Linked DNA regions of Neurospora crassa OR74A. The protein of the gene in region 2 purifies or fractionates together with the protein of the main gene of each other region. This does not show direct contact. Links are inferred from orthologs where the notes say so. Each region holds a gene or a part of one and is shown on either strand. Other genes may lie near its edges. The genes, in order: NCU06226 and NCU00225.

The links.
Region 1: the proteins of NCU00225 (region 2) and NCU06226 purify together in Saccharomyces cerevisiae (affinity purification with mass spectrometry; 4 studies listed by BioGRID). This does not show direct contact. The link is inferred for Neurospora crassa OR74A from reciprocal best matches to the Saccharomyces cerevisiae genes STM1 and RPL25.

What each region holds. Positions count from the first base shown.
Region 1 is NC_026503.1:1,952,438-1,968,629, reverse strand, and holds NCU06226 (60S ribosomal protein L25), read left to right. Parts: upstream 1-1,467; 5' UTR 1,468-1,643; coding exon 1,644-1,668; intron 1,669-1,894; coding exon 1,895-1,959; intron 1,960-2,037; coding exon 2,038-2,330; intron 2,331-2,391; coding exon 2,392-2,479; 3' UTR 2,480-2,970; downstream 2,971-16,192. Other genes in the region: NCU06227 (hypothetical protein), read right to left, coding at 147-1,064; small zinc finger protein Tim8, read right to left, coding at 3,412-3,587, 3,854-3,956; NCU11312 (CorA family metal ion transporter), read right to left, coding at 4,697-5,276, 5,349-6,661; NCU11313 (microsomal signal peptidase Spc12), read left to right, coding at 8,977-9,027, 9,105-9,164, 9,224-9,424; NCU06224 (RING-box protein 1), read right to left, coding at 9,637-9,841, 9,909-9,979, 10,068-10,146, 10,203-10,231; NCU06223 (hypothetical protein), read left to right, coding at 11,409-11,569, 11,635-11,710, 11,788-13,089; NCU06222 (tyrosyl-DNA phosphodiesterase domain-containing protein), read left to right, coding at 14,935-15,822, 15,926-16,096, 16,156-16,192. UniProt on the Saccharomyces cerevisiae protein: Component of the ribosome, a large ribonucleoprotein complex responsible for the synthesis of proteins in the cell.
Region 2 is NC_026503.1:3,069,794-3,086,652, reverse strand, and holds NCU00225 (hypothetical protein), read right to left. Parts: upstream 10,085-16,859; 5' UTR 9,927-10,084; coding exon 9,909-9,926; intron 9,600-9,908; coding exon 9,581-9,599; intron 9,448-9,580; coding exon 9,289-9,447; intron 9,227-9,288; coding exon 9,061-9,226; intron 9,000-9,060; coding exon 8,405-8,999; 3' UTR 7,625-8,404; downstream 1-7,624. Other genes in the region: NCU00227 (mitochondrial cation transporter), read right to left, coding at 1,964-2,653, 2,730-2,824, 2,947-3,080, 3,274-3,377; NCU00226 (MFS transporter), read left to right, coding at 4,523-4,947, 5,006-6,431; NCU00224 (hypothetical protein), read left to right, coding at 12,828-12,922, 13,300-13,507. UniProt on the Saccharomyces cerevisiae protein: Ribosome preservation factor that protect a small pool of nontranslating, vacant ribosomes in cells under nutrient starvation conditions.

The DNA.
Region 1 (16,192 bases), about 1.1 Mb from region 2:
CGACATACTCCCACTCCCGATATGACTGAGAACACCAATGTTGTGGTCATCCGATCTATCGGCTCCCAACAACGGTCGAGTCGAGTGACTTATTGTTAGATGTCGTGACTGATCTCGATTGTGTGCGTTCGAATGGTTCGCAAACCTTAGACCAAGGTAATGGCAAAGTTGTTGCGTGACGAGCCAGAACGTAGCTCTTCCTTGCGAAACGGCCTGTCGTTTCCAACCTGATCTGATGTTCTCCTCCACAGGTAATAGACCAGCCGTTGGGTTGTCTTGGATTCCACCATCTCGTACCCGATCGATTCCATAATAGCCGCTAACCTCTCTTGATCCAGATATCGCGAGTTGGTGACGCATGGGGCCGGTAGCACAAGGAACAAACTTGGAAAGAATGCAGCGGTTGTCCCGGAGAACCGCTTCGGCGATGTTAGAAATTGTGTCGTGCGGACCAGCATCTCGCCTCTGTCCTTATGGTCTGGGACAAAGTTGAGCACCAAAGAAAGGCTGATGATGTCAAACTTCTCCGACTCGTCCTTCGGCAACGGGCGCTCCATGAAGTCCTGCTCAAGAATCCCAGGCTCTTGGCTGTTGAGATCGATCCGAGTGATGTCGAAATGGTTACTTTGAGCACATGCGTTCTTTGTACTCAGCGCTCCAACTTCCAGCATGCGCAAGCGGCCTTCCTTATACTCCTCGGATGAGAGGTACGGCCCAACCCACTCCATGAGCACGTTGGAGCTGTCGCCGCCTCGGTCATGTCTCTGCCCCTGGAGACTTGCTTCCTGATATTTCTCGATACCACCCAAAGCCTCGATCTCCGCCTCAATTGCCGCGACCTGTGTGTTATCGTTCTTCTTCATAGCCTGCACCTTCCTCTTCTCTAGGAGATGGAGTTTGTTGATGATGGATTTCGTGGTTTTCCGCGCAAGTGACTTGGGCTTTGTGACCGTGGGCGGACGGCCTGCTGCCAGGTTTTTGACCACTCCCTTTTTCTTAGGTCGCGTAGCCATGGGCGGACGCCCAGCTGCAAGGTTCTTGCTTACTCCTTTCTTGGGTGCCATAGTCCTTCGTCGCGTGCTATGCTGTAACAAGTATATAGCCGCAAATAGTCGATCTTGTCGATACTGTGATCCGTCTCGGTGAGATTGGTTTTCGATTTCGATTGGTGGTTCGTGACACTGTAGTTAGCAAGACAACTACACCACGTCCTTGTCTGGAGGTCGTGATAGGCACAGAACAGCGAGGCTTGGAGCTGTGAAAATCCAAGGTGTCCTGCACCGACTTCATCCGACAGACCACGAGCAGAAGGAGGAAAGCTGGATCGGAGGGCGCATCATGACCTTCAAGGTTGAATGACGGAGTGCGTAGCGATAAAGTGATGATCGGAGGTCGAGATTCAAAATACTGTGGAGCATATTTCGCGAAAGTGGATATTCTGGTGTGGTTCAGAGCCCGTTTGCGCCAGTTTGCGCAGCTCAACCCCTGCCAGTACCACTTCAGCCACACTACCAAGCCACACAAATCCCGCGCGCACACTTTTTCCTCCCCCAAATTTTGGCCAAAAAGTGAACTTTCTCCTCTCCGACAACGACCAGCGAGAATCCCGATTTCTTAGCCCGACGACAGCAGAAATCGCAGCAATGGCCCCTAAGGATACCAAGAAAGGTACTTGAAGAAACCTCAAAATCTCACCAGCGACGATTCCACCAAGAATGAATTGAACGGCTCGACAAATATGCTCGCCCCGCGCACAATGCGGATCCTCCGTGTCGCGCAATGGCATTCGGAGGTGATGCACCAAAGCAGCAGCAGACTTTGCGAGTTTGGACAAGATTCTGGCATCATCTTGCTCCAGGCGAATGCTTTTGCTGACGAGGGACTCTATGGATAGGCGGTGCCTCTAAGGCCGGTAAGGGCGCTCAGGCCAAGAAGGCTGCCCAGGCTGCCCTCAAGGGTGTAAGTTTGCGACGACTCGCGATCCCTTCCCCCCTGGTGACGTTCTGATGCTGATTAGAGTTCTTTTTCTCTGTTTAGGTGCACTCGCACAAGAAGACCAAGGTCAGATACTCGACCACCTTCCACCGCCCCAAGACTCTTCAGCTGTCTCGGGCTCCCAAGTACCCTCGCAAGTCGATCCCTCACGAGCCCCGTCTCGATGAGCACAAGGTCATCGTCCACCCTCTCAACACCGAGGGTGCCCTGAAGAAGATCGAGGAGCAGAACACCCTCGTCTTCATCGTCGATGTCAAGGCCAACAAGGCCCAGATCAAGCAGGCTCTCAAGAAGCTCTATGACATTGACACCGTCAAGATCAACACCCTGATCCGGTTAGTTTTGGTCCCTATGGACCGGCATTAATATGGTTCTTGTTGCTAACTCCACTCACAGCCCTGACGGTTCCAAGAAGGCCTTCGCTCGCCTCACTGCCGATGTCGATGCCCTCGACATTGCTGCCACCAAGCTCGGCCTTGTCTAAACTAGCGATTTCATAGCTATGGGAAATACACAAGATTCGGGATAAAAACTATCTTCAAGGGATACATGGGTTTTACTGTTTAACGAAAAAGAAGTCGGCGTCTGATACCCCTTTGGCGTTTGGTCCATGGCATGGAAATGAAAGTTTTTATAACTATTCTGCCCGTTCCATCAGACATGACCAAATGGGCCATTATCCAAACTCCTCCCTTGCAAGCCATAGATCTACTTGCTCTAAGACTTGAATCTGACATCTTGTATTCTTGCTATCACCATGGACTCATTGTCGCATTGTTATCTGCACTTCTATAACCAATTATCCTGCACTGCGCATTGGGTCTGTGTTTGAAGATGAAGATGAGTATCCCGCTATCGCGCGCTCCCATATCATGCTACAAGAACCGCCTGTCATACTGTCTAAGTTCCTGAACAAATTCCCATGCCCTATAAACCCTTTTCCCTTCCAGTTCTACCTTTGATCCTTCCCCTGTCCCATCACATATATCGTACAAGCCTTCAGGCGTAACCGTAACAATTCCTCGAATGACTGTCTCTTAGAATTGTGACCAGAACCTCAATCGCAAGCCCTATCGCAGGGATCAACAAAGGTTCCCTAGCAAAGGGTGCTTCTCTGTACCCCCGTTCCGTCGTAGTAAGCCCGAGTGTACCAGACCCAGCCAGAACCACCATGAAAACAAGCGTCGGATACCTCGGCCGCATCCTCCAAGTCTCCCAAGAAGCCCACCAAGCAGGACCAGCCAACCGAAAAACGTAGCCAGCCAGCCCCGCGGGACAACCAGTTCCTCAAGGGAAACAAGTCACCGTTTTCGCCATCCTCCTTCCTCTGCCTCCTCTTTTCTTTTTGTCCCGTTCTCATCTTTTTTCCTCCTCCTGATAAGCATCCTCCCACGCCTTCCTATCGGCGCGCGAGACCTACTTGCTGCCACCCCTGGTGATCTTTTGCACGTGGGCCATGATGGTCAGGTTGACGTCCAGGAAGCGCTCAACGCAGTCCGCCATGCAGACGGCCTCGGTCTTGTCGAGCTGGTTGGTCTTGATGGGGGAGGTGACGCATTTCTTCCAGCAGGAATCGGTAAGGGCGTGGGTCTCTACACGTGGGAGGTAGCATGTTAGTTTATCTGTTGTACATAACCACTGGGAGGTAGAGTAATGTGGGAAGAAGCATATGGAAGGGGGAGGGGACAGAGAGAGGGTATGGTTTTGGTTATGGTTATGGGAGGGGGGAAAGAGGGAAGTGGTAGGTAGGCTTAGCGAGGGGCAATAAGCTGTATTTGGTCATGGTAGAGGGACGAGGATATGAATGAAGCACTGCAGGACGGAGCCGGAGATCTAGAAGGTTGTAGATGGTACATACGTCCTTGCACCCTCTGGCGCTGCGTCTCGTTGGAAATGAAACCGCGAAGCTCGTTCTTGTCCTTCTCGTTGAGGAGATCGAGGTCGGCCTGAGGAATATCCATTGTTGCTGTTTTGTATTGGGCAGGGTTATGTGTTGCGATGGTTATACAATAGTTGCTTAAGGTTGTGGTGGAAATAATTCGATATCAAGAATTGAATAAACAACCAGAAGAGGTTCGATATCACGTAGCGTGCAATTGGATTGGATGCGGGATGGACCTTTCCAAGCTTTTGGGCGGTACCTGCCTGCCAGGTGAGCACCGCGACCGGGGATGTGGATAAAGATTCTTTTGAGATGGGTAGCCAATGAGAGGACTACATTTTATCGATAGCTTTAGAGTATCTCGGCGTGCAACTGCATTCGAGTCGATTACGTACCGCACTTCACTTTCGCCACTACCGACTTTCAAGCCTTTGAAACACCAAGAATCGTAAAATTTACATGCTATCCAAGAACCTCAACGATGTTTCCTTCCTATGTAGAATGATAGGATCGAACAATACACAGTGACCACATAGCACAAATTCAGTAGAATATTCAGAACTAACTGCCCTCACAAGAAACTCAGCCTGAGTCAACACTATTATCAAACGTTTCGGGGTATCTACCAACGCATCTATGGTCTATCCCGTCAAGAAAAAAAAAACGGTATACAAAGCGATAGTACCGCCACACTCCCATGTTATAACAGCCATGTTATCGACATTGCTTGGCAGCCCTTTCCCTGTATACCAAAAAAAACGAGAAGCTATTAGAAAACGGTTCCACATTTCCTCGCATGAGACTCCAGCCCATCGTTATTTATATCAACTTTTTGTGCTTCGCAAAAATGTACGACAAACTGCAGAATGAAAAGAAAAAGGCCAGAATAACGTAGAAGGGGACCATAGTCTCCATGCCTCCCCATGGGACGTGAACGTTCATGCCGAACAGACCAGTCACCACGTTGAGCGGGACGATGATGGAGGCCAGCAGGGTGATCTTGCTGAGGACACGGTTCGTAGCAGTTCCCTGGATGATGCCGTCGATGGAAATCTGAGCGAGGTAGTTGCTGTGTGCACGAGACAGCATCTTCTCGAAATGGCCCAGGTTGGTCATCATGGTCACTACGTGGTCCTGGATGTCACCGAGGTATAGACCAATGTCCATACGTGGCGTGACTTTGTAGTTCTCGTTGCAGCGCTTGGTGAAGCCCCTGAGGACATCTGCTTTTCCGCCGAGCAAGCGCATCAAGCCCATGACATTCTTGCGAGCAATGCCAATCTTCTTCAAGAACTGAGCCATGTCGTCGGACCGAGCAATGAACACATCGTCCTCGATCTGGTCGGTTTCGTGCTCAAGTTTGCTGATTTCGGGAGCGAACGAATCGACAATGTCGTCACTACGTATGGGTTAGTATACGCGTCCATCGAAGGAATGGAAAAAGCGCATCTGCTCATTGCCATAAACTTACATCAGGGCGTAGCAAATCCAATCGCTACTCAATGAGACATAGTCCTTCAGCATCGTAATTCTCTTCCTCACATGTGAGGCATGGGAATTGTTGGCGTAGCTGAAGCTCAATGTGCCTTCGCGAAACACTACCACGTAAATGTTGAAGGGCACGTACTCCTTTTCCCCGGTGGTATCCTCTACCTCAATGAAGAACGATCTGAACGAGGCGAAATAGTAGGATGGGAAAAGCTCAATCTTCTCCCGGGATTCCTGCGTGGTGATATCCTCAATTGTCAAGGGGTGGATGCCAAAAGCTCTGCAGACGGCACGGACTTCTTCTTCGGAGGGATTGTTCATATTGAGCCACCAGACTCCATCAGTCTCCCCCTTTGGGAAACTGAAAAGCCCTCTAATGTCCTCCCCGGGCAAAATCAAACCCTCCAGGTCGGCAGCGTGGATCGTGGATTCCCAAGCTGAGGAAAAGAAACTGACCCGGCTCTGGTCAACCTGAGGTTGTGGCGGTGGTGGAGTCCTTTTGGCCTCGGCATCGTCGTCTGTCTCATGACTCTTTTCCCGCCGAATATCCGTCTCCGAAGGGGCCGAAAGGATATCCCCATCCAGTGTTACCATTGGTACGGTGGGGGTAACATCGGGCTCGGCAGGCCGCAAATCGGGGAAGACACGGATGGCCGAGGGGCGGCGAGCTGACTGTCGGGCTTCATTCTCAGCCTTGATAAAGGTCTCCAAGTAGTGGAAATCGATATGCAAGTTGTCATCCCTATGATCATCTTGCAAGGGGAAGCAAACGTCTTCCTCCGCGGATTTGTTGGTGGCCAAGCTGGCGGTGTCATCAATCACCGTCGGCTGCTTGCTGCGGTAGCTACGGCGACTGACGATAGAGTTAGCCCGCTGCAGCTCGGGTGGCTCTTCGACTCGACGCTCAGGTCTCGTTGGCTCGGAGAAGGAGAGATCTCGCTCCCTTCGGCGTGCTTCCGCGAAAGCCTTAACCGAGTTCGGGGGTGAGATAGACCGAACATCTAACACAGCAGACTCTACAGTTCCTCGCCGATCTCTCCGATAAACTGGCGAGTTCTCCTGATCCTCCTCGTCAACAACAGCTTCCTCAAAATCTCGGATCCTTGTGCCCTGGAACGAATCGCTGCGTGTTGGGCCCGTCTCAATCACCTGTCCTGGCCCGTATAGAGAATCGAATGTTCCGCGTCGAGGACGGTCGGGTCGTTGGACAGAAACGGATTGGTTCCGGTGGTCGTCAAGTTCGGGCACCGGGGTTGAGTACCCGGAGTTCCCCACGTTTTCCTCCTGGTCAAACATCGTTGCGACAAGCGGAGTCGCTTCTTGGCTGGGTGGGTTAAATTAAGTGTGATATCGGTTGTCTTTGCTATATCGTCGTTGGTGAAATAATTGAAGGGTCGGCTATGGCCCTCAACGCCCGGGATGGGGGGTGATCAGTCGGTTCGCATATTGTCGTCGAAAGGTCGACTCAAAAGGCACCAGCGGATGGCAGCGAACGGCCAGGAGCCGTCCGCGACGATGACCGAATGGCGCAACAAGAAGGGGGACAAAAGGGTGTCGTCGTCAACGTCGGCTACCAAAGCGCAAGATCGGAAAACATAAATTGCAGATGTTTGTTCAAAATGGGAAATCTTGGTTCGAGCGATGTCGAATTAAGGGGGTTTCTTGTCCACTCCACTATAGACCCAGAAGCTGGGACCTAGGAGCGAACGAACAGCCGAAACGCTTTCACGGATAGAGCCCGCCAACTTGATGACTTTTGCTGGAATGACTGGCGGCGGCGGCGGCTGAATCGGTACGTGGCGTGATAGGCGATGGCTGATGTGAGGCCTTTCTCAGCAGCAACCAAGAATTTTTTCGGATGAATACGAGGTCCGACGAGGGAAGATTGAGGTAACGAACTCGCGCCGGGCTGGGGATTTGGATCGGCTGATGGTCAATGAGGTCGAAGATCCGCCCTTTCAAAACCGCCGAAAAGCCCAAGAAGGGATAGGAGTAGCGAAAAGACGAAGGTTCTAACAGAAGCCCGAGAAATGACGTTGCTGGGGAATGACGAGCATGTGTCTGCGCATCAGCAGTCTCGGGGGGGGCCACCAGCGGAGATACCTAGAGAAGGGATGACTGGAGTCGGCGTCGTACTCTGTAGCACAAGCTAATCGAGTCGGATATGTTGAACACGGAACCGCGATAATGAGGTTGTCGGCGTCGAGTGTTGAAAGGTGGAAAAGGGTCGAGGTCGCCGCGCTAAGTTTTTTTTTGGGGTTTGGTAAAAAGACAAGAGTGGGACGGAAGGTGCCTGACTGTTCGTCGCCTCCACACAAGGCGTCGGGTGGTTCCGAGGAGACCTTTTAGTTGTGTGCCGTCCTAAGGGAAGGGTCCAAGTTCACGGGGCAAAAAGCGCAACGGAAGGAATGATCGCTTCTGGCCCGATGAGTTTCCCTTTGTTTGGAGAGTCGTTTCAGGGAAAGCCAGGGTAAGTGGTTGGTTCAAGCACGTGCTAGGTTTATAGGTAGGTTTAGATAGGAGACGGACAAAGGCAATTCAACGACACTTTTCCATGCTAGCAAAGAATATTATGGAAAGAGAGGATGGAAAGATTTACGGTAGATTTGCCCGTTCGTTCTTAGCCTCTTGTACAAGGTTAGGTCCCGGCGGTGTTCCTCCTTGTCAGGTCGCTGGACTGCAAGGTGAAGGGAAGCGGTCATCGGACGCCTGACGCACCAGCAGCACCCTTCGCCGCAAGACATTGTAGTCCGTGTGTAACCTTTTAAGGATCTTCCCTTGTTCAGCAAATGTTCTCGAAACTACCTATGATTCCACGAAAACAGGAATACGGTGTTCTGATATCGAATCGTCGATGCACAATTGAGGGTAGCTGCCAATCAGCTAGCACGGCATCCCCGACAAATCGGCCTTGGAAGTTGGATCCTGATCTCCCGCGTTAGATTTTACTGGTTTCAAAATCTACTTGCAGCACTGCTGCGTCGTCGAGAAGTCCCCCACTTTGCTCACCACCTTCACGTTTCGTTTCCATTCACTTCCTGTTGAATCCTTTTCCGGCTTTCCACTCACAGCACGCAGGGCACTTTGTTCCCTTTGACTGCGGGACGTGGATCTGGGCGTTGGTTACCTACCTGTAGGTTGTGATTTGCCCACTGCCAAGCCCAGCCGAGGCCGTGTACTGTCGTGGTACGGTAGCAGTGCCACCCAGTAGTAGTAGGTAGGTAGGTACGTATTATACACTACACCTTGTAAAGCAAGTACCCCTAGCGTACGGCACGGGCAGCCTAAAGGAGGGCCCGACCGGGGCAGGCCCCGAAGCAGACACGTTGAAGTAGAGGTACCCAGCATGGGCATCCAATGGAAGTGGAAGCGTGATGCGATGCGCTACAGTAGTATGGTGTACCTGGATGAGATCTGATTTCCTCCCATCCATGCAAACCTCAACACCTTGATAGAACCCCAACGATAATCATACGCGCGTTTACAACTTGTAAAGCAAATCTACCACTCATCACTGTCTAAGATCCAGTGTTCGACGCTCTCGACAAGTCGAACAGCTGCCCCGATAGCCGCCCATTCTCGAACCTCCCCGGCATAACACTTGCCTCACGATGGCTGAACAACTGCTGGATCAGGTCCGCGATGTTGCCGAGGGCCAAATTGTTCGTCATTCTCGTTCAATACCCGTACCAGTGTTCATCTTGTATACGACAACTCAGCTGACATCTGCGACATTCAGGATTTCGAAGGCCAGAAGCTGGTGGAACTTCTCGTCAACGTAACTCTGGCGCTTACAGGTGTATGTTGTCCCTTATTCAAACGCAGCCGGCGCCTCGCTGACAGGCCTTTGGTCATCAGGTTGTCTCGTTCCTCGTCGGATATATCTTGCAAGACATCAAGCTGGCGCTCCAGATCGGACTTGCCGGAACCGCCCTCACCTTTATCCTCGTCGTTCCTCCGTGGCCGTTCTACAACCGCAACCCTGTCAAGTGGCTACAAGTCGGCGGCGGGCTGGTACCGCCACAAAGCCTGATCGTAGATGAGAAGAGTTTCAGGTAGACTGGCGTTCTTGTCGCATCGTCGCACGGTTCAGGTGTACGTCCGCGAGAAAGGAGGTTGAGCAAAGCAACATCATCAAAGTATGATGCGCCGGCCATGATATTCATACTGCTGCACGGTGAAGCATGCTCGCTGAGCCATGCTCGATCTGGCGTGGCCCGCTAGCTTACATTCGTGGAAGCCTCTTAACGTGTGATACTCCCTGGCTTATGCTATCTAGACTTATGAAAATTCGCAGACGTTGTCTTCATCCGTGTCTCGCCCTTCAGCATGGTCGAGTAGCCGCAAACAGGCATCCAACTCCTGATTTCCAGGCCTTTAACGGCCGTATTTCTGGAACTCCCAATCTCTGTTGTCGAGAGGGCATACTTGACGCGCCTTGAGCCATCTCGAGATGCAATGGAAATGGAACGCATGCTGTGACATTGCCGGTTAGTCATCGGGCTCCAAGGATCAAACAGAGAACAGACCAGAAGGACCTTACATTGCAAATACCCCACGCAACCGTGCATTCTTCTGAGGTGGCCGATGACTGGTTGGCCTGGCACTCAATACCTAAGAGGATTCAAAGTTCAAGGTTAGTCCAAAGTCGGGTGTGTCCAATAGTCGGTTGTCAAGAGGAGAGTGTAAAGAGGGGACTTACACAGATCCATGATATGGTTTCGACAGATGGCACAGTTGTCGACGACAATATCCCAAGCCCAAAGGGCCACCGCGTTCCACTGTAAACATATCTGTAAGCGCAAGGTCATGACCATACGAAGGGGTAAGTGCTCACCTTCTTGACCTCGAACCGAGGCTTGCCATCTGCCTTCTTCCCCTTGCTCTCGGCGGCGGTGTTCTTCTTGACAACGGGCGCAGAGGCCGGGGCGTCGGTCATGTCGACATCCGCCATGATGAAGCTGGTAAATAAAGCCCCGGGTGTTTAATCGGTCGTGGCGCAATAGTACGAAGAAAGTGCTGCGACGCAGGCGAGCATGCGCAGGATAAGTCGAGGGACACACTGAAAAGCTCGACCAGTCGATGGAGTAAAATGATTCGTTTGGACGAAGAGGCAGAGTTCGTAAGTAGTCTAGAAAATTTCAAAGCAGCCGTCAGTCCGTTTGCCCGTCATGCGGTGGTCGGGATGATTGAACTATGAAAAGAGTCTGAGGAAGGCGAGGTAAACCCGCCTGGGCTGTAGAAAGGAAGGCGGAAAGCTTCTAGGCAGTTGAAAGGTATACCTAGGTAGTCTAGAAGGCTGAATGCGTACCTCTACCTTCCCTTCGAGATAACGTGAAGTGCTTTCAGTTGCGGTTACTCAAATAATAAGTATCGCCACGTCCTGGGTGTTGGGTGACAAAGTGAAGGTAGCACAGCTTGCCCTTACTGTCCTTAGTTGTTGTAGGTATGTTGATCCCGTCAAGGTTGCCTACCTAGGCATCTTAACCAGCACTAAACGACGGCGGGAATGTCAGTGGTGTGGACGGGAAGCTGCACACTGCTGCTTGATTGCAATGACGCTGGGGATTCTGGGCAGTGATGCGCGCGATAGGTGGACCAGTGAACCGCCTTCAAACTTGGCTGACCCCGCTCCCCTAGCGTTTAGAGTCATGTATGTGTTAGGCGCATAGCATCTGCTGCTTTTTGCGGTGGCGGCTGTCAAGTGTCAAGGTGTAACTGGTAATGAGGCTATGCTCGATTCAGGACGGGAGGGAAATGAGAACGTGTAAATGATAACGGCCAGAGAAGAGGAGCCGGGCTGGTGACCGGTCAAGTACAGCCCCAGGCGGTCAACGGCAGGGCATTGCACCGAGCGCTGGGCTGTGCTTCGTCGTTCGTGCGCTGATGTTGATTCCCCCGGTGCTGGAGGCCGGATCCCCAGGTTGCCTCCATCACCATCCCACCTCTTCCACACTTCCGCTTCTTCCCTATTGTCGCCGCAGCGCAACATCACTTCGGAATCACAGCGACAAACCACCACACAGTTCGCGACAAGAACAACATGCGCGAAGCTATTACCGTCAAACTCAGTATCGCCAATTCGAATAGTATTATTTCCCGCACCGTTGTGCCAACAGAGATCACCGCCACCACAGCCCGTCAACCAGTGACAGCCGTCTCGTCAGGCTCCGATCGCATCCCCTTTTCCCACGTCCCTATCTCGTAGCCGTCAAGTCACCACTCGCCAGCCAGACGCCACGTCCAACTCACACCGGTTTCTCACCCAGTGTGTCATCGCTACTCGCCTCCATTGCACCCCAGGTCGTCGCCCAACATTTGTCTCGCCAGTTCGCACACGCTTCAGTTGTTTCGCGGAGGAAGGCACCACGCAGCGGCCCCTTGCTTCTACATTACCTTTGCATACCTCTTCGTTTGAACAGAAAACAAAGTCCAAGCGCGACTACATTGTGCGCTGCCTACTTGTGATGCAACGAGAACAGCAACAAGACCAGCCGGGACCCCTCCCAAAGGCAACTCCCGGACGACGCCGCAACAACCGCCATGCCGGCAACGCTGTCGCTCGCAGAACATATGCTTCGGAAAACGACATGCCGTCTGAAGGCTCCTATCCGATTAACTTTGGCCCTGCCGCCCCGTTCACGCCGCACAAGTCGGGCACCAAGTCGGGGACAAACAGCCCGGCTCCGGAACCCCAGGCAAACGGCTCTAGGCCCAAACCCCGTTCTACCAAATCCTCAAGGTCCAACAAGCAGGCGTCCACAACCTCCCCGGCATCGACACCGGGCCCATCCAAGAACTACCGGACCAGTCCTCCGCAAACAGCGGCTCTGCCCAAGTCGGTCTTCCCCCCTGCCTTTGCCGGTGGTTCCTTCCACGCCTCCCCGGATCCGTCGGCGCTTCCGATCCCTAGCTTTCTTGCCAAGTCGATGGACTCTCCCAGCGTCAAGGATACCGGCCGAGCCAACTCGGAGCCTTCGCCTCCAGCCACCGACTCGGAAGCACCCACACCTCAAACCCGTCTCCCCGTCAGTGACATTTCCCGAGAGGAATCTCCACTCGACTTCTTCTTCCGCGCCGACCGAGCCGAGAAGGCGAGAGCTCGGAGCGGTAGTTCAGCCAACATGTACGCTCATAGCCCGAGCTTGTTCTCGCCCCAAGGACAAGGCCTATCACCTCAGGAACCCCGGACTCTCCCTACTGGCACGAGCCTACATGGAGCCCGGTTACACCATTCGGAGCCAGCCCAGCCGAATTACTCGATGGGCTTCTCTACCGGTGAAGTAGGCGGAAACCCATGTCGCTCTATGGGGCCAGCTTTTTCGAGACCCTACCAGGATCGCATTCGTGATGCAAGGTCGAGCGAGGGGCACACTGGCGTTGCCTCGAGCGTTCCTCGGCAACATCAGCAGCAACAGCAGCAGGAACCTAATATGGACCCTAGTGAGAAGCTCAAGAGATTCCTTGCAATCCCGGCGATTCGAGATAGTCAACCGGCAAATCAACCACCGAGCCATCCGGCGAGCCAGCACACGTTCCCAGGCCACTTCCGTGGCGGTGAGCTTCATGGCAGGCAACCACCACCACCTGCTCCATTTCCTCAGGCAGTCGATCAACAGCGGTCCGCAGACATTCAACACATGGAGGATAGCCTTCGTCGGATGCTGAAGCTCGACTCTCCGGTGAATATAAGGGCATCGGCAACTAACTATCAAAGCTCTTGATTCAGGCGTACCATCTATTGTCCATACCGCCGGAGGGTTTACCTTGTTGTCACATGAGTGTCGACATGTAGCATTTTCTTTACTTGTTGCACATTTCCTTTCATATCCGTCATCTTAATATCAGGCGTTGGATGGTGACGGTACGATTCCCGGACTTTGCAGATTTTACATGCATGCGTCAGCGATGGATCCGGTGGATTTGTGTTTGGCATTGGGTCTGTCCGATTTGTCGAATCACTGGCGTTTTGGAAGGTATCGATGGTGTACCGACCATGATTTCCGGGTCTATGCCGTCATAGGATAGACTGGCTCTTGAATCTTTTTTCTTTCTCATTTCTTATGCTGGCTAGCATATCAGCCTATGTTTCGGGCTCATTGTTATCTGTGTTGCTTCTTTTGTCTTTTTTGATTTTATTTTTTCTTTTTTCCGTCTCGAACATTGCGAGGGCGAATTTGGGTCTATGTCATTCAACATTTGGTACGAGTGTGGTCCATTTGACTTGCTGCATTGCGGCATTGGTTTTTGGTGATACCCATACCGTCATTGGGAGTTGGGCGGGATTTGGACCCTTATTTTCATTTGCAGGCGTGGCCTGTTGTACGAGGGGGGTTTTGGTATGATACGCATAGAATCATGGGCGTTCAACAAAGGGGGAACTCGGAGTTGTCAAGAATCGGACGACGTTTGGAAGACCATCATATTCGGGGGTTTTTTAGGAAGTCAGGAAAGGAAAGGCACGAAAGGGACCCTACGCCAATGGGATCCGTACATACACAGCGAACTATACCCGGTACTTGCACGCCACACACCACGACACATTATCTAACACGCACGTATACAACATATAAATCGAAAAACAACCAAAAAAAATATTTTTGGAGGGTGATATATGGTTTGCCAGCTTAGATAGCACAAGTAGTTAGACTTAGTTTCGGAATGTCTCAAACCATTTATACCCTCCACCACATTGGTTCAGCCAAACTCTCATTGTCTGTCAGCTGTGCAGGACGAAGTCGGTGGCTGATTCTTACCCAGTTCACTCGGAGGACATCGCGTAGAATCATTGGAGGTCATAAAATGTCCAATCGTACAGAGAAAGCGGCCATGCATGGAAAATAGAAAGGGTGTAGTGACTACCAACAGGTATCTGATATTGACATCCGAGTCTGGCTCTCGGATCAGTGATAACCCTAACCCTTTTTGTGTTGGATGTGCACAGCAGCGTCAACAGACAGGAAACGATCGGGTGCGTGGACGTTGAACGACGGGATGACGTGGAGTCGCGAAAGAAGAAATTTGGTGAAAGTCGATAGAAAGAAACAGCGAGCATCTTACCATTTCAGTGCTGATTATTGTCGTCGAAGCACCATGATGCTCGAATTTCCTAGATGCTGAGTGTCCTGACAGTCCTCATCTTCAAATCGCATGCATGATGAGGCCTCTGCTTCACATTCGTACACCCCGCTTTCAATCGTCTTGTCCGACAAACACACTCCCGCTCTTGCCTACTACTAGTTTACCAACAACACCTTGGGAGTTTTTTCCCTGACTGAACGGAACGGCTATCCTTTGTTTTTTTTTTTTTTTTTTTTTTTTTTTTTTTTTTTTTTTTATCTTGCATGACGCGTTTCGTCTCAACATTCATCTTCCACTCTCCTAAATTATTTCGCTCTCTTTTTGTCGCAGCTTTCTTTTCGCAGTCACATCCTACGCACCTTGGAAATACCATTTTTACGCGTCCCGCCAGGATCTCAGCCCCCGACAACCTTTTCGGTCGTCAACACTATTTTTCTCAACCAAACTACTTCTCTTGCTTCTGCACGACTTCACTTACGGCATATGCAATGGCCGGCCACAAGGGCGGCGCACGGTTCAATGATGCCGAGGACATATCCGATGACGAAGCACTGCGCGTCGCTATCGCTCTGTCACTTGGTCAGGATCCTGTCAAACCGCGAGCTGGTGGGAAGTCAAGCGCTACAATTGACCTAACACAAGACGATGAGGACGACGATGGAAGTCTGAGTAAATCAACCATTCAATCAAAGCCTGCCGCCCAGGATACCAAATTATCCCCACCCAGCAAACAAGCATCTACCACCTCTGCGCAGGCACACAGTGTATCAGCACTTTTCGGCCTTGACAGGAAGAAGATGGAAGAGGAGCGTCTCGCTCGCTTGAAGAACAAACGACCAGCTTCATCAGCTTTCGAATCTCCCAGTCCGACCACCGCCCGTCCCCATCAACGTTCAAAAATGTCGACCAGTAGCTACCACAATGCTACTGGTCCACAAACAATTGCCGATTTGCTACTGCCTGAGTCTGATGGAGACGAGACGGCAAGCTCTCAAGGGTCCAGCAGTTTGCCGGTCACGGGCCGCATGGTCAAAGCCGGGAAGCAGCAAGCAAATCCGCCAGAGTCAGGAAAAGGAAAAGTGGCAGCAACGGCAGCAAGTGCGGAGAAATACTCCATTGCCGGCACCACAAGCGGTAGTAGACCAAGAACAGAACTATCGTTTCCTCAAGGTGCAGTCAAGAAAACGTGGGTCCGTGGTCAAGCGAGGAAGGGGGACGACATCACGATCGAAGAAGTCTTTCAGAAGGATAAGCTGCAGTTGGCAGTGTTGAGCACGTTTATCTTGGATGAGGCGTGGCTGTTCGACAAGCTGGATTTGATGAAGACCAAACTGATACTATGTCGGGGTGCCCCTAATCAAGGGGAACAAATCAGTGTAGGTTCAGAAAATCGGACACCTCTGGAAGCCCCGAGGCAGGCTGGCATGTTTCTTCACCTCAAAAAGTCATGACATGGTTAACGTGTTCCTTTTCTCATAGACCTGGTTGGATGGATTCCCAACGGTGCGGAAGCATCTTGTTCCCATGAACGGTTCGGGATGCATGCATTCGAAGCTTCAGCTGCTCAAGTACAAAGACCATCTTCGCATCGTTGTGCCCAGCGCCAATCTGGTGAGCTTCGATTGGGGTGAGACGGGTGATATGGAAAACGTGAGTCTACTACTTCCAGTTATTCTTGAGCCGCGACAGTTACTAAAGGCCCCCTGCAGATCCTGTTCATCATTGACCTCCCTCTCCTTGATGATC
Region 2 (16,859 bases):
TCGTGTCGACGACCTCAAGCATCATATCCTGCTAGAAGAGTACAACACACAGGCTTGTGATACAACTCACGTCGACGGAAACAAAAGCTACGATTAAGAGCAGCAAGGAGGCTGAACAAGAAGTGGTCTGGGCCACAGAACTAGGTCATTAAGTACAATATAACCCTGATATGTTTATTAGTTTAGTACAAAAAACGCCCATCTCTACTTGAGAGCCCCGAAAGTGAAGAAGTATTCGATGTTTAGACAGATAGGCACTGAAAAGGAACTACCCTTTTATATTATCCAAGCTTGGAGGTCTTTAAGGAGACGGATGGGGGCATAAGAAGAGGCTTTTGTGGCGTATTACACCCTAGTCATTGTTGGTCGCTCCAAACGAAAACTCCAAGGGAGCCACTAAGAGCTCTATATTTCCCCTGTTCAACCTATAGCCGAAGAACCAAACTGATAAACATACCAGTATTATATTGTATGAGCAAAAACTAGAGCCATCTCCTACACTTCAAGCTTGCGGCCCTGTTCTTGCTGAGGAAAATCAAACCAACCAGGAAAAGATGGTCCACGATGACTTGTCTCAAGTCACGCAAGCCTCTAGATCCAGGGCCAAAGACTAGATTGTACCAGGTCCAGGTTCAGGTTCAGGTCCAAGCCCGGTCGCGATGCAAGTCGGGGTTCAAGGCCAGGTCAAGTCAATGATCTTCCATGGCGGTGGCTATAACACGAAAGTCGACAGTCATGGCAGTTGTAAAAGGAAATTTGTGAAGATGCTCGACAACAATTGCTGCTGCTGTATCTCAGCGGCACTCGCAGATGGTCGTACAGCTCCAGATCAATTCCAGGGCCTTGCCAACTACAGGCCCTTCATTCGACGGTTGATAAACCACGAAAATTGACCACCATCATGATGTTTCGAGATGTTACAAACAGGAAATTTGAAGAAGAAGGCCAGCTTGGCCTAACCTGCGGCATCAGGCCGCAGGCCCAAATTTGCAGTGAGGAGACGATGAAGCAAGAAGCTGACTGAAGCACGACAAAAGCATGTCAAGCAGTGTCAAGTAACCAAGCAGTGCCACGAAGCACAACTTGTAGCTTGTAAAGAGATCAGAAGTAACATCAGGTGAGGTAATACAGAGCATTACTGGGTCAAGGCGGAGGCAAGGAGCTACTCAGTGACCATTGACCAAGTTTGAAGAGCAGTCATGGCAAGGTAAGCCGAGCCTCGGTGAAAACCAGCCGGTGACCGGAGGAGATAATGCCCGTTGCTTTCGGGAAAGATAGATCGGAATTACAAGAAGGCACTGCGGAAAGATTCTTGGAGGGGAGGCTCCAAAGAAAAAGTTGATTGCTTTTGAGGGGGACGGCCTTTGTAGGTGTACGTCATGGAAATAGGAGAGTGAGGTTAGGTAGGGTACGGGTGCCGGACCCTAGGTAAAGCCCTGGACTCTGCCCCAGCTGCATCCGGTGCTTATCGGCATTGTCAGCTTGTAGCGGTATTGGATATGCATACCTGTAGTGATCAAACTCCACGAAACCGAACCCAAGGGGGAACATCCGAGGGTTGTCAAAAAGATGCCTGGCCAACGAATCCGCAACTAGTACTCTCTTGGGGTAATGGAGGAGGAGTTTGTAGGACTCACCTCTTGATGACCAAAACGCCATGATTGCTATGACATCAAGCAAAGGGAAACAGAAGCAACGCGAACGAACCCACAATGCAAAAGAAAGAACAACACAACCAAACGGAGAAGGGCAGAGGCAAGAAAGCAGAAAAAAAGAACTGACCAAATCAACATAGCTTTTCAGGATATCGCCGCCGTTTTTCGCCGCTGCCGCTGCCATATGAACAAGAAAACTCCAAGGCTATGCTGCCCATTGTGTGCACACTCCTCCACGGTCCTCCATCTTCAAGACAAAGGGAATTAACCCATGCCACCAGAACCTACCGGCTCCCCTTTGCCGCCTCTTAAATACCACGGTTGAAAACAACCAAGCCATCCTGACCACCACGACCCTTGAACTCTCCCTCCAGCCTATCCGCCTCGATCTTCTGCATCTGGGGGAACGCCGCCAGCGCCAACGGCAACACGGCATAGCTGGTCACCAAGATCAGACCGAGGTTGATCGGGGTCGTGTACCTCGGGTTTCTCTTCAACCACTGGGTAGCCTGGAGCCTAACCAGGACAAGAGGGGGGATAACCATGATCGGGCTGCTGTTGAGCACTCTGCTGACGGCCGTCTCCGCCACAGCAATCGTCGCCGCCTTCTTGCTCTTACCCAGGCTCTCCACGTCTCCTTCGCCCTTGCCCTCCGCAACCAGCTTGGCCTTGTCGGCGGCCGACAGGACCGGGTACACGTCAATACCCGTACGCATCTCCTCGCCGCGCATGAGAAAGACGTTGAGGGCACCGGCCGAGGCGACGGCGGCAAACGGAACCAGACGGCTGAGAATCAAACGGGTCGAGGGCGCCAGCGACTTGAGGCGCGGGACAACGCTGTTGAGACCGACGGCCACGCCGCAGGAGGCGCCGACGGCAAGGAAGTAGGACTGGGCGATCTTGGACCAGCTGAGGGGGGAAGACTTGTTGGCGTTGGAGTAGTTGATGGCAACGTTGAGGGATTGGTTGGCTACTTGCCAGGCGATGGTGCCGCGGTTCTGGTTGGGGGAAAGAGTTAGTAAAAGGAAGATGTAGGGAGAAAGAGGTAGGGAAGGGGAGGTGTTTTCAACTTACGCCAAGGCCAGGGGTCAACATGCCGGCTGTTACGACCAAGTTGGAAAGGACGAAGCAGGACATGCGGAAGGGAAGAAAGACCTTTTCTCCGGTATCTATGTCATATTTTGTGAGCCTATGTGTCTTTTTCCCCTCCTAATGACTTAGGTTGTAGGTATGTCGACGCAGCCATGCGCAACGGCATGCGTTCAGGAGTATGTCGGCGGATGAAGCATACCGGGATGGAGAGTAGAGTCGACGAGCTTCTTGGCCTGCCACAAGTCGGGCGTCATGGACTTGATCTGTCCCTGCTTGTAGGAGACGAGGAGCTGCTTAGCTTGCTCGAGACCGGCATTGCCAACGAGAAGCGTCCTGCGAATATGGCGCGCACGTTAGCAAGACATTCTTTGTCCCGTCCTGAATCCAGCCCTTCATTGCTCCAAAGTTTGCGCCAACAGGAGGTCGCAAATGCGTCATCTAGGCAGCATGTACCGCCCTTCTCTTCCGGCCCCTTCCTCCTCCCTCCTTGTAGTCCCATCCCCAGTTCAGATGCGGTTATGCTCACCTCGGATCGGTAAGGCCAGCGGTATGCCTGACGCGGCCCCAGTAGGTGCTCAAGTCATACTGCGAGTCGGGAAGCGCGCGCGCGCCGGGCAGAGAGGCGGACATGGTTGTTTGTGCTCTGGGGTGGGTCGAAGACGGTGTTTTGTCAAGAAGTGTTTAATGGCGTGAATAGTGCGCTCTCTTTGCGACAAGAAGAGATTGAACGACACTTGTGTGTCTTGTCTGACGGGCGAGTTGACGGCGACGATGTCGGAGAAGCACAAACAAACAGACAAACAAAACAAACTTCAAAACAGGAAAAGAGAAAAGTAGTCAAGAAAGAAGACCGAAATGGAAATAAAAGCAAAGCGGTGTATGACTCCTGCTTGAAACAAACCATCGACTCTCCTTTGACAAGAGGGTTTTGTTATCTTTCCCCGGTCGCGGCAAAAATAAAGCGGATCCCGATCTCGGGGACGGCCAGGTATCCCGGTCTCGATTCAGGACCCCGGAACGGGACCCCAGATGATGTGCCGTATCACTGTCCCGCCTGCATTTTTGTACATTGCACATGTACTGGCTGACTGGGCGGACTACTGAGTAGAGGGAGTATGAGGAAATGACCTACACAAGACGAAAGACAGTCAGACGGGATTCTGGATCTGGCACCGTTAGTGGCCATTTCATGTCATTTCATGTCGTTTTGCCCCGAGGCCAGAAGTTGACGGGGGAAAAAGACGAACACCGGCGGAGGAGGGGCTCTGAACCGGATTGCGGGGCGGGCAGATGTCGCAGCGCGGCGGCCAGACGCGGTCCAAAACTGAACCCAAGGGTTGCACGAGGGTTGCACGAGCCAAATGCCCTGATAGCGACAGGGTTGTAGTGTACATATGTAAATCGGGATTGGGCTCTTCTAATTGGCTGTGTTCCCCGGTCGATGATTCCTTGGATGGGCGTAACTGACGCCAGCGCCGTCATCAGTTTGCGCGATGCTGCTTCCGCTCTTCTCCCTTCCGACCTCTTTCTTCCCTTGTTGCAATCGATAACTCGTGATTCCACATTTGTTTGACAGATGCTTGAACTTCCATCAGTGCCGTTGTAAGCTTCGTTTCCTCGAAGAATACGACCACACAAACCGTGTGACATTGAACCGATGTGAAGCAAAACACATCGACGAACCATCAACACTCTTAGGTTGCTTAGCCAGCCCAGATAGGAATCCCAGCACTTAGACTAAACACCAAAACAGACCATATCAAAGAACCCACACAATGGCTCCAACCGATGGCCGGCCCGGCCAGCCCTTCGACTTCGGTGCCTTTCTCCTCCGCCATCTCCCATTCTCCTCATCGACGACCCCTCTCCAAGCCCTGACCTACCTCTTGGGCATCTGCCTCTTCAGCATTTCCTTCCTCGTCTTCCTCAACAGCAGCGTCTCCTTTGTCATCACCGACTTGATCGGCGTCAAGCATGGCGTCGGTGACATTGTCGGCACTCTCGGCTTCGTTGATGAAATTGTCGCCTTGATCGCCTGCCCTTTCTGGGGTCTGGTGTCTGATCGTGTCGGGGTAAGACATGTTGCCGTCACCGGCTATGCGATTATTGGACTCTCGCTGCTGGTGTTTGTTCAAGCAACGAATGTGTACCCGCAGTTGCTATTGGCGAGGATTCTCTTTGCTGTTGGAGCTACCGCTGCGTAAGTAATGTTCAGCACGGCGTTCCACGACAAAAGCTAATCATCATTGGTGACAAAGGGCGACCATGGTCACGGCAATCCTCCCTTCGTTGTCCGACGAGACCCAGGCGCAAACAGATGTTGTCGAGAACCCCCCTCTAAACCCAAGGCATAGCATAACACCGTCAGTGGCTTCAGAGGTTACCATTACCCCTGATCGGTTCCGCGATCACAGCACCTCCGAAGCTGGCTTCAGATTTGATGGCACCCAAGGGAAACCCGAAGGACGTGGGAAGCCGTCCGCGTTGGCCGGCTACGTAGGGCTCTTCACAGGGTGCGGTGCCCTCCTCGCTCTTTCGCTCTTCCTCCCTCTACCGGCAAGGTTTGGACACATCAAAGGCGTCACTGTTGGTCAAGCCGTCCAGTACAGTTACTACGTCGTCGGCCTCGTCTCCTTCCTCGTCGCCATCTTCGTCTTCTTCGGTCTCCGCGGCATCAAGGGTGAAGAAGGCAAAGGATTCCGGACCCTCTTCGGACTCAAGCGCCGAACCGACGACCACTCGGCCCCCTACTCATCCAAACAAGTCTATCCCTACCTACACCTCCTCCGCGACTCGATCCGGCTCGGCCTCACCGACTCCGACATCGCCCTCGGCTACCTAGGCGGCTTCGTCGCCCGTGCCTCCACCGTCGCCATCTCGCTCTTCATGCCCCTCTTCATCAACGCCTTCTTCATCCGCAACGGCTTCTGCCAAGGCTCGCCCAACGACCCTTCCCCAGAGCTGAAAAAGGAATGCCGCCAGGCTTACATCCTCTCGTCTATCCTCACGGGCGTCGCCCAACTAATGGGTCTCCTCTGCGCTCCTCTTTTCGGCTACCTCTCTAGCCGCAAGTTCACCAAACAGAATAGACTCAACTACCCTATCATTGTGGCCACCACCTTTGGCATCGCCGGCTACATTGCCTTCCCCCAGCTTAAAAGCCCCGAGTACAAAGACAAGGATGGGCGGGGCGGCAGCCCTGTCGTCTTCTTCCTCGCTGCACTTATCGGCATCAGCCAAATTGGCGCCATCGTCTGCAGCTTGGGCTCGCTAGGACGAGGTGTGCTGAAGGTGGACGTAGTCAACGTCATCACGCATCCGCACCGCGTCGACAGGGACAGCGAAGTAGCTACTGTGACTGAACCAGCTGATAGCCGGAACGAGACGGCACCCCTTTTAGAAAATCCGGGAGCTTTGCCGGAGGATACGGTGTCGAGAGTAAGGCTGAAGGGGTCCGTGGCGGGAGTCTACTCGTGGTGCGGAGGTGCGGCCATCTTGTTGCTGACAAAGGCGGGCGGGTATGGGTTCGATGAGTGGAGCACGGGGACGCCGTTCTATATGATGGCTGGGTTCAATGTGGTTTGGTTGGTGGTCAGTCTGGGGATTGATGCGGGAAGGTTTGGGTTTAAGAGGAAGAGGGGGGGAGTAGTGATCTATGGGCATCAGGTGCCGAGTGGCTTTTGAGTGTTTTGGCGGTTGTAAGGTTGTGTGATCCAGATGGGCGAGGATAGGGGGAGGGTGGAAGTCGTTGATGATGTTATGATGTATGAATTTTGCAGAGAATATGAATCGTGCATGCTTAAGGAAATGTGTACTGTTGCATGGGCGCTGTTGAAGCGGTGATCGAGTACTGCTACTCTTCCAAAGACATGGTGATTCACTCTCTAGTTTCTGCATCCAACCATCTTTTCCCATCTTCGTATGAAACTAGCATCTCCCGAGAACCAAACCTTCCACTCCCCAAGTTCGCAACACACATTCCTGGAGAAAAAAAAAAAAAAAAAAAGACAATAGACAAGGAAAGACATAATATAGAGTGACACGACATGCTCCGTGGACTCTCACCGACCCAACTACCAGAATCTATTCCAGGGAACTGAAGACGACATTCCAGCCCTCGGTCTGATGCGGACCGAATAATCCCATACTCGGGAAACTCGGGTTCTTCGGTTTTCAGGTACGCACCTGGCAGTACCTACAAGTAGGGCTTGTTGTGCAAGCAAGTACTCTGTAGAGCTTGTCGGTAGGGTTTGTGCGCATTACCACCGACATAAAGCATCATGCATGCAGATGCGCGCATGTAACTTGATGCAGATTGTCAGAGTTGTATTCAAGGATCTAGAATCATCCATCGTGAGGTGAGAAAGCAACAGGAGACTTCGTCACTAGGTCTCTTGCAAATGGATTGTATGTATCACCACTTACTTAGATGATGTGCAAAGTCGGACCGAGCATAGAGTCTACCATAAGTTTCCACAGATTCTGGCTTGTCTGAGATATGAAAGCCAGGATGACTGGAGTTCTCCGGCAGTGTCACATCTTCGAAGCATATGAGGATGAGGGAGGGAACCTCGAGGTTGAGAATGTAACTTGGAGAGGATGGAGAGAGAGAAAGGTTGTAAGATTGAAGGTAGATATCGCTAGTGTTGTCATGGAAGTGAAATGTACATCAGGTCATGTCTTGTATGGTATGGCGGCTGTGATATGGATAAGTAATCATGGGGTTGTGATGGAGAGGGTGTTTTGCACAAGACAAGAAAGGGACACAAAAGAGTGGTCTGTTTACCTGGACCTAGGTCATAGTGAAGGGGTGGTTAGTAAGAACCGCCGAGTTCGGAGTTTGAAATGGAAATGAAAAGGTCTACTACAAGTACTTGTGTGTCAATATCATCGTCAGTGATTTTCCATCTTATTATGTGCCTATGGCGACCAGTCAGTTCAAGATCACGGTGCAGCAAGAACTTCACTTGTCCAGTGAGACATCGAAAAGTGCACTTAAACAGCCAACACAGTGTTGAGTACAAGTCACGGATCAGTGTCAGCTTGTTGTGCCTTTGCCAGAGGAATCCAAAACACTTGTTTTGATATTGCTGCTCTGCCTGATGCCTTTTGCCAGATGCCATATTGGGTGTTAATCCAAAACAAGCCTGTCTTATGTCCATTCTTACGACCTTGCCATGGTCGAGCTATGTCATAGTGCCACCTAGACTATAGCGTGTGTGTCTTTTTGCCCTCTGGATGGTTGCCATCCCATCCTTTGTCTGCGGTTTGAACCGGGTAAAAAGTGAAATATATCCTAGGTATAACGTTCATGCATGGAAGGAAAGGGGATAGATACGGGGAGGAACCAGGTCATACGAACGCGCGCAATTTCAACTTTCGAGCTTGAACAGTTTTACTTTGTTCGATTCCGCGGTAAGTGGTGGACAGATAAGGAAAACCTCTTTCACGGTTCCGGTGTTCATGAACCACTTTTCCGCTAAAGGTGAATGCAACCAAACAGACGAACACCGACCCCATGCTGGCTGCTTTTTTTATCCCAACCCGCCGCCATCCTGATTCTGACATTGCCGCCTCGAAGAGAAAATAAAGGGGGGGCCGTGTGACTGAATAGTCTGGCTTCGATGTATGGTCGTTATGCCGATATTGAGAGGCATTTAGTTGCCGAGGCTGGGGAAGGCAGACTCATCGTTGGGGTTGATGGGAGCAGCCTTGTTCTCGGCGCGGGGAGCACCGCCACGGGCAGCACCACGGGCAGCACCACGGGGAGCGCCACGGCCACGGCCGGCGTCACCACGGGGACCACCGCGGCCACCGCGGGCACCACCACGAGCGGGACGCTCGGGCTCGACGAAACGCTGGTCGATCTCGAGGACCTGCTTGACCTTGCGCTCACGCTCGCGCTGCTTCTTGCCGGCGGAGCCAGCAATGAACTCCTCGGTCTCATCCTTCTTGAGGGGCTTGGCGTTGGCCCACTTCTTGTCCTCAACGACACCCTCGTTGGCCTTGCGGACCTTGAGGGCGGCCTCGGCCTCGAGAGCGGCCTTCTTCTCGGCGAGCTGGGCAAGGTACTCAGAGTAGGAGACGTGCTTCTCCTCCTCCTCCTCGGGGATAGCCTCAGCGGCGGCCTCACCCTCGGTGGTGGCCTCCTTCTGCTCAGTCTTGGCGATCTCCTCGGCGGCCTGCTCATCCTTCAGCTCGGCCTGGCCCTCGGTGGCGCCCCAGGAAAGGGCAGCCTGCTTCTCGGATCCGCTAGTCAGGGTGTTAGTGGACGGAGGTGCCTGTGGCTAGAAATTGCTTGACCGGAACATACGAGGGGATGGACTTAGAGTGGCGGTCATCCGAGGTGTTACGGGGGTGACGGCCACCGCGACCACCGCGGACGCGGGCGTTAGCGCCGCCGCGGGGACCACGAGCAGCACCCTCCTCAGTGGGCTTGCCACGGTTGCGGTCGCTGCCGGCGTTGCGGTCGCGGAAAGCTGGGACCGAAAATGTCAGTTGAGAGGGTAGCCATGGTTAGCATGTTGGATGATCAACATACCGGCCTCGTTGCCGGTCAAGTTAGAGCGACGGCCAGAGCCCTGAGCGGGGGCCTTGCTGGGAGCGACGCCATCGGAGTTGCGCTTGGTGGTGTGGGTCGAGGTCTTCTCGACGATCTTAGCAGGGGCGGCGGGAGCGGTGTTATCCTCCACGTCGTTGCCTGAATGAAAACAATCGATCCGTCAGTATTGGTGGTTCCTTGGATTGCGGTGTTCAATGTTCCTCCTCGCCCTGCCAATTTCGAGTGTGCCGTCGCGTGGGTTCCGTAATTCACAGGAGGGTGGGCAACCAACCGAGCAGATCGAACAGGTTCTGTAGAAAAAGAATCGCAATCGGTTAGTTTCTTGCTGTCTTGAGCTCTAGATTTTCGCGGTATGGCCGGCTGCTGCTCGCTGTGCGTCTGGATCCCCATTCTCCAAGCCTCCCTCCTCTTTCGGATCCCAAATTGTCGCAAGGAGCCGGTGTTGGCGGACTCGCTCGGAAACAAAAATGAAGCTCTCAGTTTCATTTCACGGCGAGGTCCAACCACGGGGTCATCCATATCCGCTGCACAGCATGCAGCTCTCGGCCGACCGTGAAACCGGCCATTTCGGAGATTGACGGGGAGAGAGATAAACACACCTTGGAAGCGACCGACATCTTTGCGCTTGACAGGACGTTGGCCTGACTCAATGCGCTTCTTCTAGACGGGGTTGGGTAGGGGGGGCGGACGACAGCGACAACGACGTCTGATGCTCGCTGTGGTGTCGTAAAAGATTTTGGCAAATCGCTCCCGGGCCACAGGGAGCTCGGACCAGGTTTTGGCAGTGGCACGGATCACAGAGACGCTCGTGCCCCGCCCACCTGCACCAAATCTCCCCTCCAAGGCCCTGCTCTGGCCCTCTTTGCCGCTGTTCCCCGCTTCCAACTTTGACTGCCGTTTTGGCTTTTTGGTGAAATTTCAGTGCGCCGCTGTTATTGGTGGTTAGGGCTACCACTTTGCACGCTGCCTGCCCTTTGTTACCAATGTGACGTGCGTATCGATCCGTACACGCCGTAACTTTGCCTGTTTGAGCTCTGCTCCCAATCCGGCAAGTCTTGGCAGAGTGTTTGCAGCTGCGACGACAACCACTCACGACCATAGACATCATCGTCACCAAGGTAAACAAACCACTGGAAACACATCCGTCACAAACACCTGACGGAAGCTGCCGCTTTATATGCCAAGTTGACGCATTCCTGCTGAGGTGACAGCCTTCTATGAGATCGGACCTGCCTCAAGCACCCCGGACTTCCTGTCAACGGACTTCATGCCAAAAAGGCACGCATTGCCGTCGTGCTTTTAGACACCGGACGTCATGTCTTTCTTGGGGAAGTATTACCTTGGTTGCTGTGCTTGACGGCTTGCCAACAGGTGCTTGATCACGGCCACATTGGAGAGGTCATCACGGACCACTTGAGCAGTTTGATATGCAGCGTGGACCTTTCACCTTTTTTTTTCTTTTTCTTTCTGTTTTTTTTTTCCAACCCCTACTTCTATCTTACTTCCTTTCATTCAAGACTTCTCTGGAAAGTCTGCCATATGCCATGATGTAGAACAGTGTTGGAAGTTGTATAGGTTCTACGTGTCTGTTGAACCGCATCACCCTCAAATCACAGCGGCTCTGCATGCGTTTCCACAAGTGTGGTTCTGGATGGACTCACCCGTTGGTTTGCATCTGACAGTCATGGCAGAGAGTGGACGCTGTGGCGACGAAGCTCAAACAGCAACTATATTAGGACGAGTACCGTTCGCCAGTCGAAGCAGTTGCCAATGGATGTTGAATTCATGAATTGAAGCTCCCCTTTTTAACACACTTGTTTACTTCCTCGTGGCCCTTCGAGGCGGAGATGGACATACATCTGCAAAATACATAACCTTTACCACATTAGAGTCCTGTCCTCGCATCGAGAATGGAAGATAGCCATCAGCAAATGTCTCTTTGTTGTAGGTTAGTTAACCTGAGATATCGGTATCAACTAATCCAGTTATTGTACGGATAACAAGTCGCGGAGAGCCATTTCATCATGATCAATATGCAAGTCGACTTCCTTCTTTGTTGTGTAGCTCTGCAATTCCTTTCTCTCCTTTTCATCTGCCTTTTCAAGATTCTACTGCATTTCTCGTGTCTTGCTTTTCACCCAACATCGAGTCTTTCGTGTTAGTCATGGCAGATTGTTTGAAGTCAACTTACAGGCGTTGTATCAAACAGTGTGTCTCTGTGTTTCTTGACAACTAAGAATGTCTCCACGGCGTTGCCAGAGAAAGTTGGGCATGTACTGGATGAGAAGCATTATCTAGCCTGGTCGCCATTGTTTGGCATGACAGATTTGCTTCATTTGAGCTGATATTTAGCTCTGAGGCTATGCAAAGTCCACAACACTCTGAAACACCGGGGCAGCCACATGAGTCGTTGACGGTAGAAGTCGTTCTGGTCACGAAATCTGTCTTCAGGAGTTTGTCGATCATTCATCTTTAGGTTTGAGCCACATTATGCACCTACTCTTGGATATCGGCAAGGGATGTTTGAGGAGGCTGTTATGAAGCACTTCTAACGTTATACTTCTGTCCACTGTATCAAACACGCCAGTACATCATCTGTGAGCGAAAGCCACAGCTCAGGCTTTGGGTAATAGGAGAGAACCCGGTCGGTAGAAGTTGCAATCAAACCCACCTCATTAACGTGTACCTCCCAGGTCTTGCTTGATACGAGTGTTAGTTCACGGGAAGACAAGAAGTCTATTTATTACCAGGCAAATATGTATACAAAAGCCACATGTCAACCGCTCAAACCAGCAAATGTGGAGGTCTCGACAAACAAAGCATAGAAGTAGGACACTTTGCGCCTACAAGCACTATGGCTGAAATCTCGAAAAGATGTCACACTGTATTGAGGCCGCAGGCTCTACGAAGCAGCAAAAAGAAAGAAGAGCTTGAAGGACACTCCCATTTTCGACACCTCCGCCGACAACGAACAGCTCACCAAGTTTCACGATACTCACTTGCAGTATGCTCGCAACGTCCGTTGTGAGCGCAAGGTCAAGAATTTCGAGCTGAGCCCACATACTTGTCACGATTTGCTCCAGATTGCCTGGAAAGAGGACTTCAAAGAATATCTCTCTTGTCTAAATAACGCTCGGCTCTACATGGAGCTACACAAACGAAGTTCCCAAAGAGGAATGATTTAGCTGGTCAGTAGAGTGTTGAGAGAGCTGTGCCCGACTTTGAGAGTCGTCCAACAGCAGGTAGCTTGTCATTTGGCAACGAGATCGACGGTTCCTTTGGGTGTGACTCATCCTGCATTCGGCTTGCCCTGCAACCTGTCCACCAGAATTCGAAATGAGTTCAAATAAATCTGCCCGCCTTCGGGTTGATTTAACCTTCCAGAGTCTTCCCCAAGCATCAGGGCCGATTGAAAGAGGTAGTAGGAGGTAGGAGTGATGAAAGCGTGATGGTGGGCTTGTCACATCTGTGCGACCACCGGTCAGCGTGCCGAGTGACGCCTCAGCGGCACGGCCAGGATGGCGACCCGAACCTTGTCGAAGCGGAAGCATGGAAGGGTTCCCGCTGCGGCTCTACACTACTCCAACACTGGACAGGTTGGAGGAACAGGAAAGTATGTACCATTCATGCTCATCCCGTTTCTTCTCGAAGCGTTTCATGGTGCAGAATACGAATCCAGATGCTCAGCGGATAGAACCCAGCATTGCTGAAGGGCAGGTCGATATGTCATGATGGCTGGGCTGACAGAAGTCCACTGGCTACACACGGCTACCATCGGCGCCTCCACCAGAAGTCACTATGCACACTTCCACAGGCAGCAGCGTTTCGGTGTGGAACTGAGGTTTCACTGGACTCAATTCAACAATGCGGATCCCCAGACCACCGTTTGACTCCAGTTCCGTACCTAACCCGGGGATGATTCCTTCCGGACCGGTCATCACGCGGTAGACCGGTCCAGACTATGCAGTGACTTGTACGCGGAACTCCCAGGATCTCCTTACACTACAAATGGGACACATGGGAGTTGAGGGGCAACATGCTGGTCGTGAATGGAGTATCTATGTGTCATGGCTTACCCCATGAGCTACATGACCAGACGGAACCATCCTACCTTTTGAAGACGCCCGATATGTCACATCTTCTTTCGGCACGTGGAGCCAGCGTGGCGTCCATCTACATTATCCGAGATATCGACTGAGGGTGATTTCGAACACCACCAAAGGGAAATCCTGGAGATCGTGTACTGGATACCTTGAGCTCAGCAATGTATCATCTCCCAACCAGCAGTTTTTAGGCGGGAGTGACTTCAGGGGAACCAAACCACATAGGCTCACCACCATCTCAGGATCATGAGCTGGACATCAGCAGAAATGTACTGCTGATCAAAAGGAAACAATTGTGAAGGGCCACATGCAACCTTCGGCCTGTCGGGACGCAACGTTATGTCTCCATAGGTCCGAACTCAGAACAATAGACGGTTAATAACGGACCAGCATTACTGCACACCTGGATCTGTTATTGATGGAATGTTAGTTGTAGGGCTAGACACCGTCTAGATGTTGCTTAAGTCGAGAAAAGGACTGGTAGATAACCTGGAGAACAACCATGATACCCGACAGTTGCTAGACTCGACGGCCTGTTTATAGGTAGGTTCCTCCTCATTATCACCATGCTTTTCCTTCATAGCTTCTTGTGTTGGATCGTGCTATATTCAACGAAGCTGGAACCTATATTGATCCCACATATATGACATGGTAGTCTTTCTCATTATCTAAATATTACGTATCAACAAAAACCTCCAAAGGCTTCTTGCATTGGAAAATGACAATGACGTTCCAATACAGCATTCAAATGTGAAGACATAAATGGTGGATGTGGAAGGAAAGTATCAGCGATTGATGCACGACGAAGGTCTATCGGTAATAACGCCACGTTTGATTAAGTTCGAAATTCAAATTGATCTTGCGGGACACTTCTTCTGTGTATTTGCTACATCATGCCACAAATCAGACTAATACCATGACGGGTTTACTTCGACCAAGCTATGTTGAAGCCGTCAAGCATCCTCCAAACCGAAGAAAGGTGTTTACAGAACTGTCAATCTGTTCCCTTGGACATTCTCGTTACCTATGCTCGGATTCGCTTCGCTTTGAGACCTTCTATGCCTCCAGACATTTCTGACAACCAACAGAACAAACAGTCTTCGAACGCACTCGCCTGGAATTTCCAATACCCTCGTTCCCGTTGTTTACTTTCACTCCCAACTCACTTCATCAATTCGGAGATTCCCATCCACTTTTAAAGGTAATCTCACATCATCACATATCATCCCTCCACCATGTCGTGTCCTCCTCCCAAAGCTCCTCTACCCAACCTTGGCATCAAGCTCACTGAGCCTTCATGAGCTCCTCCCATCTACTAATATCTCCATGCCGCCTCCGACCACTCCATCCCGGTGTTTTTCACATCCCAACCGGCAGTCATCTTGTTCACCCCTCCCCACACCGTTCCCCCGTTCTCCATCCATCAGCCCCGTTCCCGTCTCCGTAGTGTATGTATATGTAGGTCCTCAGCCCCGGTCGGTCGTCCACCGGAGGGACACCCAGTTCTCCACAAATCAACCGGACCGCGGACCTACATACTACCTCGCTTTTGTTTAAAAAAATCTCCACTCTCTTGTCCTCCTCCTCCTCCTCCTCCGCCAGTCAGTCAGTCAGTCAGTCAGTCAGTCAGTCAGTGTCCACATGCCGCAAAAAGTTTTTGGCGGGCACTACTGGCTTTGCGGGCTCAGCGGGCTCCCCAAACAGTGGAGAAGGAAAAGTTCGGTGGAGAGATTGTAGATGAGAGGGACGACAAGAACCTGAAGATCTTGCGGACTACATTAGGATAGCGGATCCCTACCTAGTGTAGGTGCAGTACATACCGTTCTTCGGTTGTTATCACCGAACATGGAAGGCTACATACTGCATAGTACCTCAGTCCTTAGAAGTAAGCGGTGTTTCTCCACACCGTGTTAGTGTTTTTTTTTTTTTTTTTTTTTTTTGTTCTCAGTAACATTTTCCATCTCCTGGCTGCGGTCCGCGGGAAAGTTAAGTTCTCACACTAAATCTAGCACTATAGCCGGCTTTATTCCCGGACGAGGCTTCCCTGACTTTCTCTACCGATCTCTCTCTTTTTCCTTCCTTTTTTTCGGAATTTTTTTTTTTTTTTTTTTTTTTTTTTTTTTTTTTTTTTTTTCCTGAGGGACCGACTTCGCTGCGGAGATGATGAGCTTTGTGAGTGAGATGGAGTTGGGGGAGGGACTGGTGTGGGAAAAAGTGAAAAGTGAGAGTTGAATAATACCGCGAAGAATGCGGGAAACCTTCGATCGTAAAAAGGGGGGATTCTTTTCTCTAATTTTTATCAACCATCATGCGTACTGCGGTAGTCACAGTACCTGGAGGTGAATACCAAGGTAAAAGCCAAGCACAAATCAATCGACTGACTCCAAGTCCAGGGCATCACGCACAACAGAAAGGCGGCCCAATTCAATTTCCTCAAACTTCAAGTTCTCAACTTCCAAGTCCATTGCAGGGGAACCACAAATTCCATCCTTTTTATTTTGACTCATCCCAAAGCAACCCCAAAAGATAACATCGCCAGGCACGACAGAAGAACTAGATCTAGATTCACCGCCAAGCCGCTTGGCCCTTTTCTTGATCTTTTCTCACGCGGTCTTCGCTCACCATCCCAACCCATCATCGCTATCTGCAGTGCCTAGCTGTTGTCGATCTGCGCCATGTGTCGTCGTGTCGGGTTTACACTACGTACACTACACTAGTACTGACCGTTACCGGTCCGTTTACACCATGCAAATGGAGTACCGGCCCGTATCTAGAGGCGGAGTTGGATGTGGAGCGTTCTTCCGATGACAAAGCCGTCGGTCACGCGTCTCCGCTGCCCCTGGCTACGGCCTTGCGGGTTAGGTAAATTTGTCACGCAAATCGTTCGGCGCGGTCCTGTAAAGAATTGAGCTTGTTTGTCTTTTGGACTTCGATGTAACTTTTGTTTAGTAGTATTTCCTGATGATCCTGTCTGATGGTAGGTGACGTTGATCTGGCTATTTACATCAGGTAGACGGTTCAAGGTAATGTAAACAACATGTCCTGCTCCCCATGGCGAGGCTTGTCATCTGCCGTAGCCTCAACGGTCTCGTGGTATTCCCCCCGCGTTTTTCGTTGGTCAACAATTCCGTAGATTCTCATCGTGATGACAAGTTGATTGTCATGCTGCGCTGACCTCCTATTTTCCAACCTCAATCGCTGATAGCCCAGACAGAAATTGACAGTTGAACATATCAAACACCGGGTCCAAACACCATGCTTTTTGATGAGATTGAGAAAACTCCTTTTTCCTTCTGTGATATGAATCAAAGTATCCGATTTTGAACACCATTTTTGTTTTGTGGTACAGTTACAGTGAAAGCAGACGCATACAAGGTATCAAAACATGCTGGCATCACCAAAAGCCAGTGACCAACACAAACAAAATCTCAAAAAATATCCAAAAGA